2 linked regions of the Caenorhabditis elegans genome follow. The protein of the gene in region 1 interacts with the protein of each later gene in a biochemical or structural test. Each region holds a gene or a part of one and is shown on either strand. Other genes may lie near its edges. The genes, in order: sax-7 and sax-3.

The links.
Region 2: the proteins of sax-7 (region 1) and sax-3 form a complex in vitro, tested with the Caenorhabditis elegans proteins (one study listed by BioGRID).

What each region holds. Positions count from the first base shown.
Region 1 is NC_003282.8:8,060,845-8,064,768, reverse strand, and holds the start of sax-7 (Neuroglian), read right to left. Parts: upstream 2,111-3,924; 5' UTR 2,038-2,110; coding exon 1,989-2,037; intron 1,669-1,988; coding exon 1,491-1,668; intron 1,155-1,490; coding exon 1,078-1,154; intron 740-1,077; coding exon 447-739; intron 1-446.
Region 2 is NC_003284.9:3,463,730-3,467,653, forward strand, and holds the start of sax-3 (Protein sax-3), read right to left. Parts: upstream 2,199-3,924; 5' UTR 2,157-2,198; coding exon of another isoform or gene 2,127-2,156; 5' UTR 2,114-2,126; coding exon 2,041-2,113; intron 137-2,040; coding exon 1-136. UniProt on the Caenorhabditis elegans protein: Required to confine migrating sex myoblasts to the ventral muscle quadrants during their migration through the body and for multiple aspects of sensory, motor, and interneuron axon guidance.

The sequences.
Region 1 (3,924 bases):
TCAATTTGGCTTGGGAAAATGGGAAAGTAGTTTTCGAATTGGCTTTAAAAACGAGAATCGTCGAAATCATCCACGAGTTACAATTTCAAAATATAGAATCGAAACACTTTAAAAACTTCTGTTTGATTTGATTTTAATTGAAAAAAAATACATGGAAATTGAAGTTTTCTTTAGTATTTGAAGATTGGAACGAGCAGCAAATTTGAAACTTAATCGCAGAGATTATTCGTCTAGTTATTTTTTTTTCGAAAAATTGAATACGATACAGCCAGAAGCACTGAATAGTTTTTTCTTCAATCTTTCTCCAAAAATCGTTCAATTCTATGAAAATTGTTTGATTTTGGTTTACAAAGAACAGGGAGTGAATGAGAAAAGTTTTCTTGGCACAATGAGGTTACGAGAAACGATCTGTAAAAAGAATGAAAAAAAAAACTGTTATCACTCACTTGTTCATTGCTAGAAATATGACTACTACTGATAGTTTCGAAATGTCCCGGTTCTTTTCCCATAAGAATCCAATAAACTCTTGCGTATGGATTACTAGCAGGTGGAGAACAATTTCTTTGGTACGGATCTCCAACTTCGACAACTACAACTTCTGGTTCCGCAGTTTTGAAATGACGAATCCATGTTTCTTGTACACGGACAGGACGATCAACAGCTGTTCCATTCGAATTTTCAGCTTCACATTGATATAATCCGGCATCAGATTCATCAAGACGGGAGAACACAAGGCTTCCTGGAAAATGTCATATTTATTTCAGAACAGGTTTTCTGAAAAACCGAACTTTTTTTTAATGAGAAATCAATATTTCTCGGTTTTTAGGCCTAACCGAAAATTTCGATTTTTTTTGGATTTGAGGAAAAACTGTTTTCCTGTTTTTCCTGCATGTGGGAGTTTTATAATTGCACAAAAATAAAACAAATTTGTTTATATTTAAATGAAGTGAACTTTTTTCAAATCAGAATAATAATTTGAAACAAACATTTAACTATTCAGTTACTCCATCTTTTTAATTTCAAAAATGTTCCATATTCTCTCAATTTTAGATTTTTACAACAACAAAAAATATTCACCTTCTCCTGGTTTCTGAACAACTTTCTCCGGAAACATGGACGGCAGGAACGTCTTACCATCCTTTTTCCAACGATATCTGTAATAAAGAAAATAGTATAAAAAACATATTTTGAACACTTTTTAATTCTGGAAGTTGAAAAATAAAAATGCAAATGGAAACTGTTCGTAGAGCATAATGTTGAATTTTCAAATTTTTTAATGCTCCACCAAAACTGCCAAAAGGATTTTAAAGCAATTTTAGAAGCAGTAAAAAGACTTCGAATTTTTTTTCAAATTTAGATAGAAACTACCGTATCTTTCCCAATTAGTATTGCATGCAAGTCTAATTTTCAATAAAAATTATTTTAAGATATTTGAAGATTCATTTTTTTTTCTAAATTTTACTTTTTCAGAAACATTACAAAAAACTTACGAAGGCCTTGGATTTCCATTTGCATAGCAATGAATCGTTTGTTCGAGCAGATTACCGGGCGTATTTTTCGCCGATTCATCACTCATTCCACTTTTTTCGACTTTAAAGTAAACGGTATCTGCATTCTTATCGTGAACAAATTGTGGAGGAGTTTCGATCGCTGACCAATCTATGCTGCCTGAAACAGTTTTTATTAGAAATGTTGCTACATATATATGGATATTTGACAATTGTTTCTGTTATAGAAATATTTGTTTTTTGTTCATAAATTTGAGCACATCAAATGCTTTTCAGCGTTTTTCTCAATATTATTTATTTACAATTTTTTTCTATAAAAAGGCTTTGAATATCTTGATTCCATATTTATTTTCATTTTTGCCATTAAAAAACAACAAAAAAGGGCGTAAAATGATGTTGCAATCAAATATGTCAACATGAATCGCCAATCAAACAATTTTCGAAGCGATATGATGTCCTCGACGTCAAAAGAATTCTCACCTGATGATATGTGGCCAGTGAGTAACAAGAGGAATATGAAGCTCCTCATGATGGTGGTCTTTCGACGTGATCTAGAATCGCGTCGAACTTCGTTCGATACTCTTTTTCTATCCTGAAATTGGAATAAAGCTTGCGAAGAATTTTGAGAGAAGTTCGGAGAAAAAACAACGAGAAATGAAAAAAAAGGAAACGTTAAGAATTAAACAAACATGAATTAGTTTGAAAAAATAGAATCTTCCCTCAATTTTCAAGAAAATAATTGTACTACTACTTGTGCAAATGAAACTATTCTCGTACAAAATCTGATTCATCTTTAAAATTTCGAAAATTGGGATTACATTAAAACCGGAAAATAAACGAAAGACTTTAAAATCAGAAGAATGAAATAAAGAACTTCTTATTTTGTCTAGGTTTCTCCTTTTCCCGATTATGCAAATGAAAAAAAGCGAGAATTCATGGGAATCTACCCCGCTGACCGAAAAGTGACCATGAGGAAGCACGTTGGATTAACGATGAGAATAAGAAATTAAATCTGTTGTTTGATTCATTACGAAAATAAAATTAAGAGAAAAAAGTTTCGAAAATTATCAACAAAAAAAGTTATTTTTAAAAAAGTACAGACAAAAACATAAGGTGGAAAAAATGGAATGCAAGATGAGAAAAGAAGGGCATGAGGAGAAGTCAACGGGGGTGATAGATGTATTCGTTGACAGTCCACACACACACACACACACACACACACAGAACCGACGCAATCTGCGCATGGCGGTAGCCGATGGCATTGTACTTTACCGGTTGTCTCGTTTTTTTTTGCAATCAGAACGAGAGCTGCTCCATTCTTCAGAAGCGGCCGTTCTTCAAGGACGTTTTCAGGAAAGAAAAGGAAAAAAGAAAAATGCGTTCGCGTCACGCTACTCGATTTTTGTTGCTCAAAATGTTCTACGCACGAGATGTCACCTATGAGACGTATGGATGCGTGGGTAAAAGAATAACAAGACTTCAAAGATTCTGGGCCACAAATCATTTACGACAGAAAATAGGTGATTTTTATCCGAAAAAAGCTAAATTTTCAACACAGCGCGTCTGAAACATTCAAAACGGGAACATGATCAGGTTTTTAACGGAAAATGTGATTTAAACGTTATTTCGAATCGAAAACGACTTTCAGATGTTTTAATTTACTTTTAGACTAATAAATTTTGTAGTTTTACAAGTAAAAACACTAGAAAAACAGAGAAAATTCAGAGTTTTCGTTAAAAATCGTTTTGGCGGCGAAACAAAACAAATGCAAGTACTGTAGCAAAGGCGCGCAACAGAGCGCACATGCTCGGGTCTCGAAACGATTGCAAAATTTCTGGTCTACCTTTCGATCAAGCCTAGTTTCTCTATTGAATTATTCGTTTTTTCTTTGGATAACGCGATTTAAAAATTTTTTTTAAAAAAATTATTTCTAAAATAAAAAAATACAATTCAGTTTCATCGACTTGGAGACATGAAATTTTTGATGCGAAAAAAAAACCTGTGACACCACAGACTATATACTTCCGGAGCATTGTGCTAAGTCGATCGGACAGATTTCTCGAAATCCTTTCGTCCGCATTACTCTCTATATGTCACGGAAGAAGGTCGTAAAATGAGTGTGTCTCTGAGCCAAAAGAGGTCTGGTTATTTCTCCAAATTCATAAAATTTGGATTTGGCAGTTCACTCTCTTTTCCTCATTATTCATAACACATCAATCTTGCTTTCATGAACACCGCCACGATGAGCAGATCAAGCAGAACATAGAGAGTAGCTTCAACAGCAGTGAACATCAAAAAGAATGAATTATTAAATAAAGTTGCTATAGAGAAATGAGAAGGCACGCTTTAGATGTATCAATATAAGGATGGGTAGGGGAAAAAGAGGGTATCTTCCGTTTTCTACAGCGGTCGGTCG
Region 2 (3,924 bases), on another chromosome or scaffold:
ACGGGCTGTCCATCCTTGTACCATGTGATTTTGGCGGTAGATGGCTTTGCACCACAGTTGAGGGTTGCTGGCGATCCCCTAGATACCACCACATCGATGGGATGTTCGATTATCACGGGAGCGAGATTTGAGGCATCTGAAATTATATTCAAGATTTGAAAAGGTTCAAAACAACATCATTCCCCTGTTAGAATTTTTTTTACTTTCCTCATCTCCCATTCATCTTATTTCCACATACATCAACACTTTGATTTTATCCATCTTGACAATGTGAATAAGAAAGGAAACTTGTCCAAGTGCATTAAATCAATCTGACCGATCCGGCACGCGCAATACTGTCACATCTGTATTATGGTGTCGAAACGAACACCTTCCCTCACCGATTTTTCAGTAGAGATGTGCGACACTATTGTCCTTGACGGACGGTAGGTAATAAAATGATTCACTAGGAATTTTATCAAAATTTATGTATGTGTGTGTGTGTGTGTGAGTGTGGTAAAAACCTAGATAGTACATTAACGGCTGGTTTATTGGGTGTCGGTGGTCTATTACATAAGATTGCCATTGACCTCCGACGGATTACCCATCTTCTCCCATCTGCTTCAAAAAATATCAAAAAGCCATTTTGAATCACTTGTTTATGGCATTCACCCTGACACTGCTGCGCACACACTTAATAAAAATTTCAGCAGGCCGACTTGTTTTCCTCCACTTCAAAATACGGACCACTGTTGTTTTCCACTAGTAAATTACCAGACCAAAGTGTGGCTAACAAGCTGCCGGATTCAACAATTTAATTAGCCTGGCTGTCCTTCTGTCTCTTCTGTCACCTCTTTAACCTTTCAACAATCTAGCGTGCCAGTGTCAAAATGTGCGCACGCGAGTAAACTATCCATGAACCAATGTATTGTACTCTGGCTACAATTTAATGGCCGTGTTAACCTTCAAAATATTATACTACGCTGCCTGCCCGCCTTTTCATCCATAGGCAAGACAAAACCAAAGAGCTGTGAAGATGTACACATATCTCATCCTGTCAACACCCAATTTCACAATTCGCCCGTCATTCTTTCGCAACACATTGGTGTTGAAAGCTTCTGCTAAAAAGCAGGCTGTCTTTCTAAAACATGAGATGCAACTGAATATTTTGGACAGCGCCAACAGCTCATTAATAACCTACTAGTCTCTGGGGAGGGATTTCAAATAGCTTCTCATCTTCTATCAACCGCATGCTAATGATTCTCAATTTTACGGATATTCGCATGCATCTTAAAACTGTGCTAAAATGTTTAAATGACCCAGGTTGGGGCAATTTATCACATTGAATAATGACTTGCACATTGCACAAATTACATTGTGGAAATGTGGAAATGTGGAACAAGACAAATATCGAGAGTCTGCGGGTGGTCGCTCCCAACTGTTTCTTATATTTTCGTTGCAAATTACACTGGCTCTGGTCGCTGTACAAAAAGACTTATTGTTTTAAGAGATTAGCATTTGAATGGTGAATACTTGAGAACACGCGCCTCAATGAGACTAACTCCTCTCATTCATTTTCTATACCATTTATTCTCCCCCCGTCCTATTCACTATTGTTTTCTCAACATTACCATCCAAAAGCGGGGCTTGGCTCGGCCAAGAGGGCAGATGGCAGTCCAAAACGATAATCGAATCTTTTTACACTATAGTCGGCAAACGAGCTCACAATCCAAGCAGCGAACCCGCTTTTGGTGTTTGACAAAATGAAGAGTCATGTCTAATAGCGCAAGAGTAGAAAAAGCAGCGAGTAAAGAGCATTTTTCCAAGATGGAGGGCATTCGTTTCCGCGCATTCAGTCAATCTTCGTTTTAATCGCTTTCTTCGACATGGGAAATACAACCCAACCTAATGGATTTTCCAAGTTTCCAAGTGAATTCAAAGAAAACCCACGAGTGGATCGAATAGCGTGTCTTGTTGGCGACGCGTTTTTTTCACCATGTAACTTGACACTTTTGGTACATTCTTAACTTAACATTTTTTTTCTAGAAAAAAAAAACCAACCTTCGCAGAAGCTTCGGATTACTGCTTGCAATACCAGGAGGATAGTGCATAACAGCGTTTTTCGATTGAACATGATCTTGTTTTATTCAATCTGTGTCCAATTTCAAAGGCTGCATCTAATTGTGGCGGTGTTCTGAATTTCCAGTTGGGAGACACCTGCAAGAAAAACACAAAAGTAATCAAAGTTATTGGCGGTTGTTTTAAGAGTGGGCGACAAAATGACGGAAAGAGAATGAGGGAATATAAAAGGAGAAACAAGACAAAATAGGTGATGGGAAAAAGATGGAAAAGGGCGAAAAAAGCGTGGCCCTGGGTGTAATCATTCATCTTTGCTAGGGTGACACTCGGGAGAATAGATTTAGAAGGAAAAAAGGAAAAGACACAACAAAGTAATTGAAAAGTTGACGAGCGTCGTCGTCGTCGTTTTCAAGACGCGAAGACGATTTGTGCGTCCGTTTTTGCGCATTTTCGGTGGTGGTGGTGGTGGAGCGATTCGGACGGAAGCCGACCCTAAATTGGACTAGAGAGCCACATTCTAGAATGAAGAACAAATTTAGTCTTCTACGCGACGGAAGATGTTGGACAAAAAAAAATAAAGAAAAAATGCACGGGAGGCAAAAGTAGCCAGCAGGAAGACAAGCAACAAAAAAAATGAGGACGCAAAGTTAGGAGGCAAACGTAGTGAGACTGGTTAAAGATGACGCGCAGAAGGACGGATGAAGGATGGATATAGAAGATGAAAGAAAATGAACAAGTCGATTTTGAAAGGATTTTCTTAAATGCGGCGAGGCGTAATCAAAATTTGGTGTAGTGAAAAGGCAACTTGAAAAAGGAAACCTACTCTGACAAAAAATATAAAAAATCTTTAGTACTAAGTTCGTGGCAGATTGGGAAGTGTGCAGGAGTTGTTTCAAACTGCACAAGACTCCCGAAAAGCTATGCAAAATTTTATTTTACGCAGGAGTTGTGCAAGATTGTAGTAAGAATCCGTTGAAGTTTCAATCTAAGTAGAACTTCATCAAGTCTATATAGGCGTTTTACTTTACTTGGGAAATTTGATTTTTGCCAGAGTATCAATAAAATAACTATAGCTACAATTTGAACATGGAAATTAAAAACTTCAAACACAGCAAAATGGCCAAAATTAGGAAAATACCTTGAAATTAAAAGAAAAACGGATTTTCAACATCACCAAATGGTTCAAAATTTTTATACATACAAAAAGCTTTCATTGTTTCTCTAACAACCAAAAAGAAACAAATCACAATTTAGTACAAATGCATTTGCAGAACATTTAAAATGAGGACCGTTGAGACGAATTGCTAGAAGGCGTAGACGCAGAATGTTAGACATCAGATTTCCTCTTCAAGGTGTGTGTGCAATGCGCGGGGAGATAAACGCGCAAAGAGGAGTGAGACAAGTATCGATTTATGTTGTGCCAGCGATTGAATAATACTGATTAGATAAACTATCTGGCAACAGGCGGGCGAATAAGAAAAATCAATACGCTTTATTCTAGACAAGAAAGTACTCGAGAACATATCAAAGCTCTCAACTCAATAAGGTCGTCAGAAAGCTCATAATTGTCAGATAAATAACCTAAATAATGCGCGTCAAGAGCACGGCGATGACGGATGTCCATGTCATGCAAGCGGCTCGATACGGAACGAAACCGCATGGAATATGAGGGGATAGCCGGGGCTATACGTCGCCCCCTTCCCTGGTTAAGTAATTATTCCAATTCGTGGCCGCCCTCCTCTCACATTCGACTACCCGTTCATTAGGTCCATTGTAGACCGAACCTATGCCCATGGACCAACGAGGCAAACGATTGGGGGACGGGAGGACGACGAAGAAGAAGGAAAACCCGGCCCTGTCATACAA